2 linked regions of the Lonchura striata genome follow. The protein of the gene in region 1 binds, or shares a complex with, the protein of each later gene. Links are inferred from orthologs where the notes say so. Each region holds a gene or a part of one and is shown in the gene's direction. Other genes may lie near its edges.

Region 1 (7,339 bases):
GCACTACCAGCAATTAGTTCTCCTAAACTAAGCATATGCAGAGGGGTCATCACCAATTGCTACTTCAGGAGCCTCTCAATAGACTGTATTATAAATTCAAGAGATGGGTTCTTCCCACCCTAGCAGTTTGTTTTGTGGAGAGATGACTCTTTTCCCCAGTGTGACCCCTTCACGTGAACACGGTGGGGTTTGTTATGCACTCAGCCTGTGGTCCTGGGAATGCACATCCTCAGTCCCCTGAGCATCAGGTGTTTCACCAGGTCTCCCTCCACCTTCCCAAATTCCTGGTGTTTCCATCAGTCCGTGTGTGGATATGCTGGAAAAAAAAAAAAAATATGCTGGTTTCGGGCTCAGCAGTTTTCTGCCACAGGGACTTAATTCAACCAGAGCCCTCCCAGGTGTGATCCCACAGCAGGACTCGAGGCTGGAAACGCTCATCAAGCCCTGCATGACATATTTTGGGCTCCCCACATGTACCTGCATTTCCTCACAGGGTTCAAGAGAGCTGCTGGGTGAAAATTCCTGGTCTGGACAGCCTGGCTGCAGTAATTTCACCTCCTGAACACCTCTGGTCTTCTCCCAGATCCATCAGCTCAGGCATTGCTGTTTGACAAAATTACAGCCACTGGCAGTGTTTACTCCAAGCTTCCAGGAAGCAAATCTATTTTTCATTAATAAATAATTTTCCTCATTTAAGTATTCTTAGGAGGCTTTTTTAGCTATCCTGCTGCAATTCTCATTCTTTGGTCTTTTCATACAGCTCGTGCAGCCTATCTAAGCAGAACTCTTATTTTCCACAGCTAGCCCCTTTGTTTCCCACCTTTTTGCCATTGTTTACACATGGTTTATATCCCTTCTCGCAGAATCAAAAATAATTCTCATTCTATTAAAGAAAAGAAGCCCCTTTTTTTCCCATTGAAATATTACTGCTTAATTTAAGGATGATGGTTTTAAAAATTATATCTAGAGAGGAAAAAAAAGGGACACCAATTTTCATTTTATGTGAGTCTGGACCATATTAGCAGTAGGTTTAAGAGAATTAAAATTACAATTGCATTTTAAAAGATAGTTTACTAGAACAGGATTTACTTCTAGATAGAAAGCATTTTTTTCTCATTTTTTGTAAAGAGGGAATGTAAAAATATTTTCCTATGATTAACACCATGCTTTCCCAGGACAAACAAAAGACTTTTGTAAGCCAGAAACCACAAAAAAATAAGCATGTGTGTTCCCAAGGATTAGAACAGTATTACACACATACAGCAGAAGACGGTATGGAAATAAATTCTAAAATAATGTGTTCAAAGGCTTCAAAAACCATTTTAAAATAAGAGTCAGTTTTTCACCTCATACATATTGACACAGCCCTGAGGTTTCAATCACTTAGACACATACCACAGTAGCTCCTTGATAGCTCAATTTACAGTTAGAAAATGTTATCTAAATGTAGATTAGAAAACAGCTTTTGTGTTTGCAAGTTCACAGGAGGGAGTGGTTTGGCTTTCATTTATTGGAATGTAAAATGGACGAATTTTATATATGATGCCTACAGAAGTCATATTTAATGTGGCCACATGTGCAACAGGGTTGTCAGCCCCTGTGAAACTAGAAGATGGGCTTTGAACATTAATTTTTCCTAACGATTCCCCAGCACTTTTGCTGTGAAGGATTCTGATGGCAGCATCCTGCAGAACTATGTGGCCATAGGTTTAATCTGGGAGCTATGTCTGTGGCCTGACCCAGTTAGACACATTTCCACCCAAAAGCATGGGACAGGCATCTCCAAAAGGAGTTTCACCACACCTGTCTCAGACAGCAGCCACAGAAAGGGAAAAATTACCCCATGGAGATGCCTGACTAATTAAAGTCCCATTAATGCCACCAATGTATCAGAAAAAAAAAAATCTATTGAAAAAAAAAAAAAAGACATTTTCCCTTCCTTTCTTCTGGTAATATTGTTATTATTTGTTATCATGCACGCTAACTTGTGAGCATTTGTCACCTAAGCTTTTATATTGTTTTAAATGCTTAAAGCATTTGTTATTCATCTGCAGGAAGATGTATGTCCTTGATGTTTAGCTTAGATTCCCAGATCTCCTTTTTAATGGTTTTACTTCTTCGTTTTAGGAAAAAAAAATGGGACTTTGGTTTTTTGTATTTTTCCTCTTCTAGTTGTGTCTAATTTCAACGCAGGAAGTACTTTTGCAGCTCTTCAGTCTGACTGTGAGTGAGAACCAAGCTATTACACTGTAACTTCACTCCCTATTGTGTGGGAAGCAAGAATTGCATCATCCCTAGGATCCAGAACAGGAGATGAAGATCCCTTCTTGGTGGGTGCGGTCCATGATTTTGTAGTCAATCTTTCAACCAAAGTAAGAGCTCCTTTTGTTTTTATTCATTTCTTCCCTCTTCTGTTTTCCTCTCTTCCCCATAAAACTCCTTGTGAAAGACAAAAAAAAAAAAAAAAAAAAAAAAAAAAAAAAAAAAAACAAAACAAAAACTTTCAGTCTAGTAGTAGGCATTTTAAATTTTATGCTTAAACATTGTAAATATCTCACACTTCTGCAACTCAGTTTTTACCATCTAAGCAGTTGTCTTTATTCCTCTCTTCAGGTGTGATTATTGGGGCATTAGGAATTCCCAACAGATGTTAACAGCATGACAACAAGTCATGGAAAACATAAAAAGCAGGCATAGAAACTTTGATTCAGAGTACCTCAAGTATTGTTAGTACCCAAACTATAGACAAATGCTACTTTTTGGATATCATTAGCTAACAGCTGCTCTTAAATTTAAATTCCAACAAATTGCTTAAGTTATTTTGTGATGCAAGTCTTTGTTCTGGTGAATACGTTGACCAACTCATAAACACAAGTAATTAAATTCTGCCTTCTTAACAAGGTGGAAGGCCATTAGCAAATAGACATTGAAGGAAAATCTATATTAGGCTGTACTAAAACTGAAAGCCTACTGTAAAAACAGCTGAAGAAAGTTATGGACACTTAAATACCCGTAAAACAGTGTGTCATTTAAAAAAAATCATTCAAAGGCACACTAAATTATTAAACTGGGTTAAAATATCTTAACAATTAAGTTCCCATTAGCAGTCTTGGCAGTGCATTCATTGGTTGTCATTAGTGTTTTATGCAGGAGCTTCTGAAAGAGGCTGGTGCCTTTGGATAAAGAGGTACGTGGATTTGGGAGGGAGACGAGGGAGAGGAGGGAAAGGAGGGAGAGGAGGATGAGGAAGGTGATGAGGGTGAGGAAGGTGATGAGGGTGAGGAGGGAGAGTGAGGAAGGTGAGGAGAGAGAGGAGGGAGAGAAGGGTGAGGAGGGAGAGGAGGGAGAGGAGGAAGAGGAGAGTGAGGAGAGAGTGAGGAGAGAGAGAGAGGAGGGGAGAGCAGGGGTGAGGAGGGGTGAGGAGTGTGATGAGGAAGATGAGGAAGAGGAGGGAGAGAAGGGGTGAGGAGGGAGAGGAGAGTGAGGAGTGTGATGAGGAAGAGGAGGGAGAGGAGGGAGAGGAGGGAGAGGAGGGAGAGGAGGGAGAGGAAGGTGAGGAGGGAGAGGAGGGAGAGGAAGGGTGAGGAGGGGTGAGGAGGGGTGAGGAGGAAGAGGAGAGTGAGGAAGGTGACAAAGGTGAGGAAGGAGAGGAGGGAGAGGAGGATGAGGAAGGTGATGAGGGTGAGGAAGGTGATGAGGGTGAGGAGGGAGAGTGAGGAAGGTGAGGAGGGAGAGGAGAGAGTGAGGAGGGGAGAGGAGGGGTGAGGAGGGTGAGGAGTGTGATGAGGAAGATGAGGGTGAGGAGGAAGAGGAGAGTGAGGAAGGTGAGGAGGGTGAGGAGGGAGAGAAGGGAGAGGAAGGTGAGGAGGATGAGGAGGATGAGGAGGGAGAAGAGGGAGAGAAGGGAGAGGAAGGTGAGGAGGGTGAGGAGGGAGAAGAGGGAGAGAAGGGAGAGGAAGGTGAGGAGGGTGAGGAGGGAGAGAAGGGGTGAGGAGGGAGAGGAGAGTGAGGAGTGTGATAAGGAAGAGGAGGAAGAGGAGGAAGAGGAGGGAGAGGAGGGAAGGTGAGGAGAGGTGAGAGAGGAGGAGAAAGGAGGGGTGAGGAGGGTGAGGAGTGTGAGGAGAGTGACGAGGACCCGTCGCTCTGCAGCCGCCCCGCGCGCCGGCGGGGCCGCGCATGCGCGGCGGCGCGCGGCGGCGTGGGCGGCCGCGCGTCGGCGGCGAGCGCGGCGTCCAATGGGCGCGCGGGGCGTGCGCGGGGCGTGCGCGCGCCGGGGGGGGGCGGGCGGTCACCTGACGCGCGCGCCGCAGTCGGGCCGCAGCCGCAGCCGCAGCCGGAGCCGGGAGCGGCGGGGCCCGGGCGGGACGGGACCGGACCGGCTGAGGCGGCAGCGGTGCTGCCGCTGCCCTCCGGCCCGCGGCGGCGGGCACCGAGGTAACGCCGAGCCGGCCGCCGGCGGGAGCGTGCGCCGCGAGGGGCTGGCGGCGGGGGCGCTGAGGCGGCGGGGCGGGGGTCGCAGCGCGCCCGCGGGGCCGGGGCCGGCGGCGCGGCCTTCTCCCGGGGCGGGGCGGTGGCGGAGGCTCCGGCAGCGGCGGCTTTCCCTCGGCGGCGGCTCGCTGAGGGTGTCGCCCCTTCCCCCGAGACCTCCCGGCTCGGTGCCCCGGTTCGCAGGGCTGCCCCCGCCGCGCTCCCGGCTCTGCGAAAGGGCCGGCTCGGCCCCGCCGGGGGCTCGGCCGCGCTGCCGGGCTCAGGCGTGCAGCCGGCGCTTGCTTCCCTTTGGGGGCAGCCGGCGAAGGTCTGCTTTGGACTGTAAACAACGAAATACAAACCCTGTCCCTCCTGCTCGGTGCGCTGAGATCCTTCGCGTGTTTTGGGGCTCGGTGGAAAGGTGGTAATCGCAAAAGAGCAGTTATCTATTTTAGCCCGACAGTAATCCCAAAATCATCTGCAGCTCGGTCTTCCAAATCTTTATTAAACTAAAAAAGGAGGGAGAAAGTGTTCTAGCACTGGAGCTGTATGTCGAGTGAATTTTGACAGGTTAATTTGAGGCACTTGAGGAAGGCAGTTTCTCCGTGTTGAAATACACCTGTCTGCAGTAATGGAGTAATTGCCATCCAGAAGCACTGTAAATTAAGGTGATGCAGCACTCTGAATGCTCTAGCATATAGAGTTGGCTCTTTAATCTCAAATATTGCACCTCACAGCAAGAAAAGAAAGGAGTATATTGCTGTCAACATGATGAGTATGAATTAGACCACAAAATATGGTTTGTAATGCGAGTTTAACTTTAAAGATTACTTAAATAGCATAATTACTCTTGGATGCCCTAACTCAAGTGAGTAAGCCTTGTATGTACCTTAGCAAGCAGTGAGGCCCAAACCAGAAAGATTTGCAGGGAGAAACAGTTGTCACTGGTAACTGAATACCCGCTGTGTTTTTCAGAAGGATTCTAAATCTCTTAGTATTTGACATTCTTGAGAACTTCTAGAGTGTGTTTTCCAATTTACTTTAAAAAAAGAGCCTACTATTGTTGTCTGGGTTCATCTTGTGATGTGAATGAAAGCATGATAAATGGGGTGTTAGGGAAGTTTGCTTCACTAGCACGCTCCTGATTTTAACCAAAATGCTGAAGTACAGCTTTAGCTTCCATCAGCTGTATCTTTTGAGTTTATGTGTAAAAATATGGAAGATCTGAATGTGTTAAATGTTTAATTGCTTTTAATCGGTTCTAATATTCTTATGCAAAGGATACTTCGAACACTATTAATTTTTTTATTGTAGAAATGGTCTAGTGTTAAAACCCATACCCTTTACCTGATCCTTTGGATCAGGTGGGCACTCTTGTTAGGTGTAGAATAGACAGGTCTTTGCACATGAGTTCTGTAAGTCCCAAATAACTCTGCCCTATGGTTCAGGGAAACGCAGCTCAACAAGTCTCCTTGTCATTATCATCCCCACCTTCCAAGTTTGATCATCAGTGTATTTCTTTAAACACTTAATGGGTTTTCTTTTAACCATAGTCCTCTCTTTTTGCACTGGGCATGCTGGTGTGGAGGCAAAGAAGAGTGGCAGATCAGTTTGAGTCTGAATGCTGGGATTTTAATTGTCCTGTAGAATTCAACCACTGAAAGTTTCATGGGGGAGGTTCTGGGGAGTAGGAGACAACACTGTGGTATTCATAATGTGAGTCCTGTTTATATGTAGTCCTTAGTTGAACCAGAGGTGGTGTGTTAGTTGATGCAAGTGTGGGTAGGAACAAAACATTGACTGAGCCAAAATTAACTGCTGAACCAATCATTAAGTCGTGCAGATTCAGCCTAGTGTGACCACAGTGGGGATAATGTGTGACGATCCACCTGCAGATTTCCCTGCCCACACCTCTAGTTCAGAAGTAAGCAGTCTGGAGAGGGGACTAAAAGTGATGGAAAGGCTTATTTGGCTGTAACAAATCAAAGACTGCATCACAAGTCACTCTGTTTCCAGTAGTATGCAGTGTTTTTTGGTTAAGTCACTCTTAAGGATGGAAGGAAGTTTTGTTCTTGTTAAGTATGAAGGGAAAATGTAGTATTTGGTATAAAAGTGAGTTAGAATGTCAGAATAAGGCTCAACTGACCAATCAGCTACTGAAGCTTTAAAAAGGGGAAAGTGTGTTGTGAAGGGTAAATTAACTGTAGAAGCATTGTTGAAATACAAATAAATTGAGTTTAATTATTAAACATACATTGGAGAGTGTAAGAGGTGTAGCCTAGGGTATCAGTAACTAAATGTCTTTAAATGAGAGCCTGTGTCTTAAAGAATATTTAATTAATGTTAGAAATTGTGTTTAGATACTTTGTGAATGACTTTATTTGAGCTGTCAACATAATGTTTGTAGGTGTTTGGATTCCAGTCTTGGCCCATTGACAAATACTATGATAAGTAAATATATGGCAGTTGCTTGCCCTGTTCATGCTGCTTTTAAGGTCATCAAATCACAGAATCCTGGAGTGGTCTGCATTGGAAGGGACCTTAAAGATCATCCATTTCCAACCCTCTGCCACGGGCAGGGACAGCTTCCACTAGAACAGGTTGATCCAAGTCCCGTCCAACCTGGCTTTGAGCACTTCAGAGATGGGGCAGCCACAGCTTCTCTGGGCAACCTGTGCCAGGGCCTCACCACCCTCACAGAACAGATTTTTTCTAATAGCTAAGCCTGCCTTCTTTAAATTTGAAACCATTCCTCCTTGTCCTGCCAGTCCAGACCCTTGTCCAGAGTTTCCCTCCAGCTCTTGGAGCCCCTTTGGGCACTATCAGGGTCTCTAAGGTCTCCCTGGAGCCATCTCTTCTCCAGGATGAGCAC
Region 2 (7,282 bases), on another chromosome or scaffold:
AAAGTGTTAATGCTGTAAGGATGGAGCTTTTTTGTTTCTGTCTTTCTATATTTTGGAAATGTGCTTCAGCCTTTTCATTCTTCTTACGAGTTATTAGTACTAGGACTGTATATAATTTTACAGATTTTCTGTGGAAAAGAAATGTTAACTGAAAATAAGTAGTTAAAACTTGAATGCAGGAAAAAAAATCCTAAAGCACATGTTCCAAAACAGGTTTGCAAGGTGAGCACAAGAAGCAAGTATATGTTGTATGTTGGCATTCTTTTCCTCCTCCAGGGCTGGAGCAGTGCCTACTCAATAGAATCAGTCATCATGCAGATCAATGCCACTTTAGTCAAAGGAAAAGCCAGAGTACAGTTTGGAGCCAATAAGGTAAATGTACTGTGTTTCTTAGTTACACAAATCCCTGTTGGGATTCCATTTCCTTGCTGACCCACATTGAGGATGCTTAATGACAAAATTGTTATGGCAAATATATATGCATTTCAACTTGGCGGGTGCCTGTATGTGTATTTTATTGGCAATTAAACATTTTTTATGTAATTACAAGCAGATGAGTTAGATAGTCTTGGGATGGGCAGGGTAGGCTTTTACTGTCCTTGTATCGGCAAGGGAGGGGGAGGCAAGGAGGATTAGAATTGGGAAGATTTGGAATTTCCAGCTCTGAGAAGGGAATCCTGAAAGCCAGGAATGTTATAACATTGTGTATGGAGTTTATTTTTAAGCCCACTGTAGAATTTCCTTGTTAGAACTGTTTTTGAGTCTTCATGTCTAGATGCAGGTTTTTATGTTAGTTTTTTCTCCTTTCAGAATCAATATAATCTAGCAAGAGCACAGCAGTCCTATAAGTCACTAGTACAAATACATGAGAAAAATGGTATGTATATTCTTGCCACTTTGTTCTTGTCTGCACAGCACCTTGGGAATTGGTGTTTGCCACAGAGAAACTTGAAGTGACAAAGTGTCTTATTTTGGCTTGGGAAGACCATTAATGTTTCTTCCTTCTTCTTGCACTAGAAAAGCAGTAGTGCTTAAATAACTTCACTGCAATCACTGCAACTTTTCCAGTTTACTTGAATGTTGTGTGTGTTCCTGCTGCTTCTTGAAAGGCAGCTGCGTATTGTTTTCAGCTAGTTGATCTAGGGACTTTATTGTTACTGTAGCATTAAGTATTAAGGACTCTTTAATATTGGTGAAGTATCTGCTGGGAGTTTATCCCTTTCCCTGAAAGATTTTGTTTCAATGTGTCAAGAACCTAGTGGAAATAACATTAATGAAAGAAAAAAAAAATAGGGAAAAAAGACCCGAGACTAAAACATACAAAAAGTCCAAGTGAGGTGTACAAGCTGGGAAAGTGTACAATAGAATAGGGAAAAGCGTGTTTTGGTATGGGCTTTTTAAAATCTCTGCTGCATAAAACAAGTGTACAAATGCTTCAGGTACAATTGAATTTACTGTGGCAGTATGAGAAGCTTGAGGCTATAAAAGGTTTAAGTAGCTTACATGTTACATAAAGGTAGTCAGCAGAATTGATACTCTGGTCTTTTGATGATAGAGCCAGCGCAGTTACACTTCCATGCTGTTCAGGGCTCTGGGTTGGACACAGTGTCCTCCAGGAACTGAGGTCATTGTAAATGTGTTTGTGAGCACCTCAGCTTCCCTGCTGCTCACATGGAACATAACTTGTTCCTTGTACTCTTGGGAGGAAGATCAAAGATAATGATTTAACATCATCTCAAATTTTACAGTATTTTGATCTTGCCGTTAACTGAGCCTTTTGCCTTTTCGTCTGCTACAAAAGCCAGCGTGGCTGTTTACTTGTATGTGCTGCAAGTGATCAGTCCTGCCTCAGGATCTGTACACAAAGCCTTCACAGTACTCAGTGCTGCTGTGAAAGGTGTCTTAAGCTTAGAGGTGCTATTTGCTCTCTGGGACAGCACAAACAGGCCTTGTAGTTACTGTACACGTTTAAAGGAAATGTTACAAGAGGGGCTGGGAGAATTAAGATTGGAGCTCTGGAGGTCTCTAGAAAAAGCAGTGCACACCTGATCAGGTGTGATTCAGCTGCTAAACATGCCAAATTAGGCCAGGAGACCAGTTATCCATCTGACATTTCTGAGCTTATTCCTATGGTAAGACTTGCAGAAGTAGGATAAGCCATTCAGTTGCTTCTGCATGCCTAACTCTACAGAACTCAAAATAAGTGTCCCAGTGCAGTCACGTTTATATGTCTGTTTTAAGTAGCTTGAAGACTTGTGGGTTTTACCTCTCTTCTGTTAAGTTTGGTTAGAGCAATGTTCCTCCTTCAGCAGCTTCCCCTTGTTAGTGTTCCGCTTGTCCAGCTCAGGATAGCTGCTGCTGTAGAAATCTGTGTGTGCACACCCAAATACCAGGTCACATCCTGGTATGTGCCACATAGTTTGTCTTGCACTGCTGACTTACTCGCATTTAGGGCACTGGGTCTTGCTGAGCTGGCCTGCTTTAAGAGGGAAGGACTGAGCCAGGTTAGGCTTCCATCTCCCACAGGTGAAGAGTAGGATGGTCTGGACACAGCAGCTTTGGTACCTAACATCTCTCTGTTCTCCACAGGCTGGTACACTCCTCCAAAAGAAGATGGCTAAGGCTGAGGACTGTTGTATACCTGGACCAATGTCAACAAAACAAGCTCTTTTTTATGTTTCCCAACACACAGACTCAAGCTATGAGTGCCCCTATAACAGCTGTACTGAGGACTTTAGCTATTAGATAAGTTAGTGGATATTCTGTCAACTGACACGTACAGTATAAGTTACAGCCTTACCATTCCGCTCTTAGGCATCTGGACTGAGCAGTTTGGGCCTTTACCATATTTGTTCTTATGGAGTAAGCAGATTTGGGCCACACCCTCCCTTCTCCCTTTTTTTATTTGAAAGCATAAACTCTCCCTGCAGCAGGCTATTGACTTACTAAAGATCATACAATAGGAGTGAGTTGTTCACACACTTCTGTGTATTTCTTACTTTCTGCAAAAGGCAGACTGCAGAGACTTGCATTGTATTGTTTCATTTAAAGCCAAGAAGTTTAATACATTGTTTAATACTGTTTTAGGAAATGTCAGGTCTTGCAAATCACAGTAGTTTTTCTGGTCTAAAATGACAGCGTTTGTAGTATTTTCCGAATTAATGATATAGGAAAAACACATGTATGTTAAGTCATTAAACATTTTTCATGGCTGTATGAGAATATGAACTTTTTATTGGAAAATATGCTCTTTGTTTAGATTATTTTAAATTTTTTGTTTGTTTTTTTAAATTTTGTTTTGGTTTTTTGGTTTTATGCAGAGCAAGGCTGTGCCAATAAAACCTTGTAACTAGTCATGTCCACTGGGGCATCAGAACTTGCTGGACTGTTCCTGCTACTTGTTGGCTCAAGCTCCTTAACAAGAGCCACAGTATGAAGCTTGAAGTTATTTAAAATACTAAAAACCTTTTTAGGTGTTCCATTTTATTAACGGGTTGTTGCAATCATTTCTAAACTAATGAACTTATAAAGTGATTGGCACAAAATGAGATGAAAGTCCTTGAATGAAAATTTTTTATATAAAAACGACAGTAAAGTACGAAAACATGTCATCCAGTTAGAGGTGTAAGAAATGCTGCCATAGTCATGACGGTGGCTTTGTTATTGAAAGACTAATGGGAACTGTTCTTTCTTTATTAGGAGATGAGTCTGGGTCTGTGTACTTACACAATTTCATTGCCTTACCGGAATCGACTTATTTTGGTTGTAGTACTTCCTATTCCTTAGGCGTGTGCACTCCTCGGGGCCGAGCAAAGGGTGTGTTCCATGGATTAAGCATTTCAGAAGTGCAAAAGCATGTTTTTATGTTGGTTTTTTTTTTTAGTTGACTATCGAACTTATGCTCTTTTCTCTATCAGGCGCCCGCGGGTCCTTGTGCATTTGCTTGTAGATCCAGTTTTTAGCTCGAAAGAAGCGAGCTGGGCGAGGTTTAGCGCCGCTCCCAGGGCGCGTTGTTCCGGTGCGCCGGGGCTGGGGCGGCCCCGGCCTGCGCCCTGCGGCGCATGCTTCGGTTGGGGTTCCGTTTCTTCTGGCAGAGTTCCTCGGCAATGTACAGTAATTTGTAAACTTGCATCAAGTTTATGAATAAAAAGCATTTTACGAAGCGCTGTGTCCGTGCTGGGGCCCGGGGCGCGAGGGAAGGGGGGAGGTGAGAGCGGGACGGGTCCTCCCCGCCGCCAGGCGGCGCCAGTGCACTGGCTCCCCGCTCGCGCTGACCGGAAGTTGCCGTAGGCGCGGTGACGCGGGGCAGCGGGGCCGGGGAGGCGGCGGGGCCATGGACTCCGCGGCGAAGGGCGGCTACGTCCTCGCCAACCTCGCCGAGGTGGTGGAGCGTGTCCTCGGCTTCCTGCCCACCAAGGCGCTGCTGCGCGCCGCCTGGTAAGGGCCGGGACAGTGGGGTGGGCGGCGGCCGGCTCCGGTCGGTGGGGGCGGCGCGGCTGACGCGGTGCGTCGGTGTTGTGTTGCAGCGTGTGCCGGCTGTGGAGGGAGTGCGCCCGGCGGACGCTTCGGACGCGGCAGCGAATCGCGTGGGTGTCGGCGCTGGAGCCGGGCCCCGCCGAGAACCACGCGCTGGTGCGCGCGCTGGCGCGCGAGCTCGAGGTGAGGCGCGCGGGCTCGCCCCGGGCGCGGCGGAACGCGCGGGCTGGGACAGCGACGCCGCGGGACTGCGCCGCCCGCAGCGCTCCGTTCAGCCTGCTGCTGGTCCTCACCGCACAACGATTCGTGTCGGGTCTTCAGCAGCAAACAGCCTCAGCGGATCAGCGTTAAATCAACTGGGACAAGATGGGCCGGAAGCACCTCTACGCTGTTTACCAGCATCAGCACTGGTGACAGTAGAGGCCAACAACCATGAATGCAATGAGTTTAGATAGTGCTAAAAGAGGAAACAGAGTCATGGGCCAGTCTGCTGAGCTGTTCTTCCTTCTGTGAGGTTTGGGTCAGCTTCCTGCCTGTGGGCAGAAATGCCTCTGGGCACTTTTGAAGCTAATGAGAGGTTATCTGTTGGCTGGCAGGAGTCTGGTAAGGGGGAGGGGACCAGTATGGGCTGGCGGTGGAGCAGGAGCTGTTTATCCTCGGTTTCTGCCCCCACTTTCTCTCCACTCTGTCCTGTTGTGGCATTCACATTCTCTGGACAGAGAGACGTAATTCTGTCTCTCAGGAGAAGTTCAGAGAGAAGAGAAAACAATCTTTATCTCTGCTCCTTTGTTTTTCCCATGTGGAATCTGGTATGGAGATTGTTTACCTGAATTTATCGCTGGATTGGATTCTGGTGAAGGTTGTTTGGGTTCAGTGTCCACCTGGACTGAGCTGTGGCTCGGACTCTCAGCAGGCAGTCACAAGTTTGTTAGTTGGTAATTAGTTGATAGGTAAGAAGTACGTATGTAGAATAGTATAGTTGCTCTTTAAATAGTATATTAGTGTAATCTAGTGTAACTTTATAAAGCTGTCCTTCAGCCTTCTGATCTGGAGCCAGACATCATCGTTTCTTCCTAGTTGGGGTTGCCTTTTTTACTATAGTCCTGTCTATGTACTCCTCCACCTGTGTCTTTGCAGAAGGTGCACGTGCTGCCCCAGACCGTGCTCTACATCGCTGATGCAGAGACATTCAGCGGGCACGAGGAGTGTCACGAACAAAAGAAAGGTAAAGCCTGGACCCAACTCACTCCCACTTAAAGACATACTGGATGTGAGTAGAGCATAGTCAGCTGAAAGGGAATTTTCTGTGTTTGGGTTTCAGTGGAAGGGAAATGTTTTGCAGAATCCGTGACTGCGTAGTGTTGCATTTACGCTGCGTGTTTGCCTGCCGGCAGCTCTCAGGGAGCAGCACAGACCAGCGTGCTGTTACCAGGGCAGCCACGGATGGGCAGCATTGGTTAAACAGGATGGGATCGGCTGTGGGATTGCCTCAGAGCACACTTTTACTGCTGTCTGATGGTTGTATTGGTTTCTTCTTGTTTTAACAGCCAGAAAAAGGAACAGTAAAGAAACAGCACTCGCACTTGAAAAGTTGTTGCCAAAGCGATGTCAGGTTCTTGGACTGGTCACCCCAGGGATTGTAGGTAGGAGCAAAATGTGTGGGTTTTTGAGAGGTCAACTTGAAGGTGTCATCTCAGCACTGTTCAGCACTGGTTTCAATTTTAAGGAGTTCACAGTGTCACTACTAAGTGATGTAGTGTTTACTTCATGTATTACAGTTAAAATTAAAAGGGTTGATTCAGTTAGGCAGGCAGCTTTCCCTGGCACCTTAATGTACTTACTGAATGTTGCTTGGATTTATATATAATTTTCAGTCATATTGTGACCAACTGTAGAGGGCATCCTAGTATATACCTGTTGGAAATGGTCTAGCAGGAGGCATATGCAGTAACTGGAAAGTTCACAGCCTCCTGTGGCATGCTTTTTCTCATTCTCCACTTTTATCATTAGAAACTTGTTTTTTTATGGTTTCTCACCTTAAATTTGCTTCCCACATTATAAGTAAGGTATTTTGATTGTTGTCATTGCCATATTTTAATAATGCGCTCTCAATTTTTGTGTCAGTTTTGCTTTATACTGTCATCACATGCTTATAGGACATCTTAAAAACTTGAGTATGTCTGTGTGCTTGCAGAAGTTGGCAGGAAGGCTTGTATTGCACTGTTCTTGTTTGCCTCATGTTTTATATTTGGTGTGACTGGGGAGATATATCCATGTCTCCATGTCAAAACGGACTTCAGTATGATCCATAGCCAGCATTTCATCTTTCCAAAACATTAACAAAAAAAAGTTAGTTTTCAATTAGATAAGTTGTTACGGAATTAGATTGTCATGTTTTATGTCACCTGAGCTACCTCTTTCTGCCTGTGTTAGTGTAAATGCTTGTATTAGAATCTCTGAACACCAGATCCTTGGTTTTGTCTCCGTAGTTACCCCGATGGGTTCAAGTAGCAATCAGCCTCAAGAAATTGAAGAGGGCGAAGCTGGGTTTGCTCTGTTGTTTCCCAAAATTGATGGGGTGAAAATTCATACCTTCCATTTTTCTAAAGATGTGAAGAACAGGGTCTTTGATGAAAGCAAATTTGCTGAAGCAGGTATGTAATTTTTCTCTCCTTTACGTGGGCTTTTGTGAGGTGCTGCTCTCTGAAGTGCCAGTCTGGAGTTCTGAGTAGAACCAGCAGCTTCTGTACTGGCTCCAAGAGCCTCTGTGGGGCTCCAGCTGGTGTCTGTGCATCTCTGCTCCTCT

The links. Proteins that work in one complex are often made in the same cells at the same time.
Region 2: the proteins of BACH1 (region 1) and FBXO22 are in contact, whole or in part, in a cryo-EM structure (PDB 8S7D), measured with the Homo sapiens proteins. The link is inferred for Lonchura striata from reciprocal best matches to the Homo sapiens genes BACH1 and FBXO22. Residues at the interface, in NP_001177.1 of Homo sapiens: Ser7, Val8, Phe9, Ala10, Tyr11, Glu12, Ser13, Ser14, Val15; in NP_671717.1 of Homo sapiens: Asp366, Gly371, Asn372, Phe373, Ile374, Leu375, Arg376, Lys377, Cys378.

What each region holds. Positions count from the first base shown.
Region 1 is NC_134604.1:4,185,196-4,192,534, forward strand, and holds the start of BACH1 (transcription regulator protein BACH1), read left to right. Parts: upstream 1-4,326; 5' UTR 4,327-4,434; intron 4,435-7,339. UniProt on the Homo sapiens protein: Transcriptional regulator that acts as a repressor or activator, depending on the context. Binds to NF-E2 DNA binding sites. Plays important roles in coordinating transcription activation and repression by MAFK.
Region 2 is NC_134613.1:4,671,455-4,678,736, forward strand, and holds the start of FBXO22 (F-box only protein 22), read left to right. Parts: upstream 1-4,279; 5' UTR 4,280-4,333; coding exon 4,334-4,437; intron 4,438-4,526; coding exon 4,527-4,659; intron 4,660-5,613; coding exon 5,614-5,701; intron 5,702-6,023; coding exon 6,024-6,119; intron 6,120-6,965; coding exon 6,966-7,130; intron 7,131-7,282. Other genes in the region: UBE2Q2 (ubiquitin-conjugating enzyme E2 Q2), read left to right, coding at 277-372, 811-877, 2,590-2,621. UniProt on the Homo sapiens protein: Substrate-recognition component of the SCF (SKP1-CUL1-F-box protein)-type E3 ubiquitin ligase complex that is implicated in the control of various cellular processes such as cell cycle control, transcriptional regulation, DNA damage repair, and apoptosis.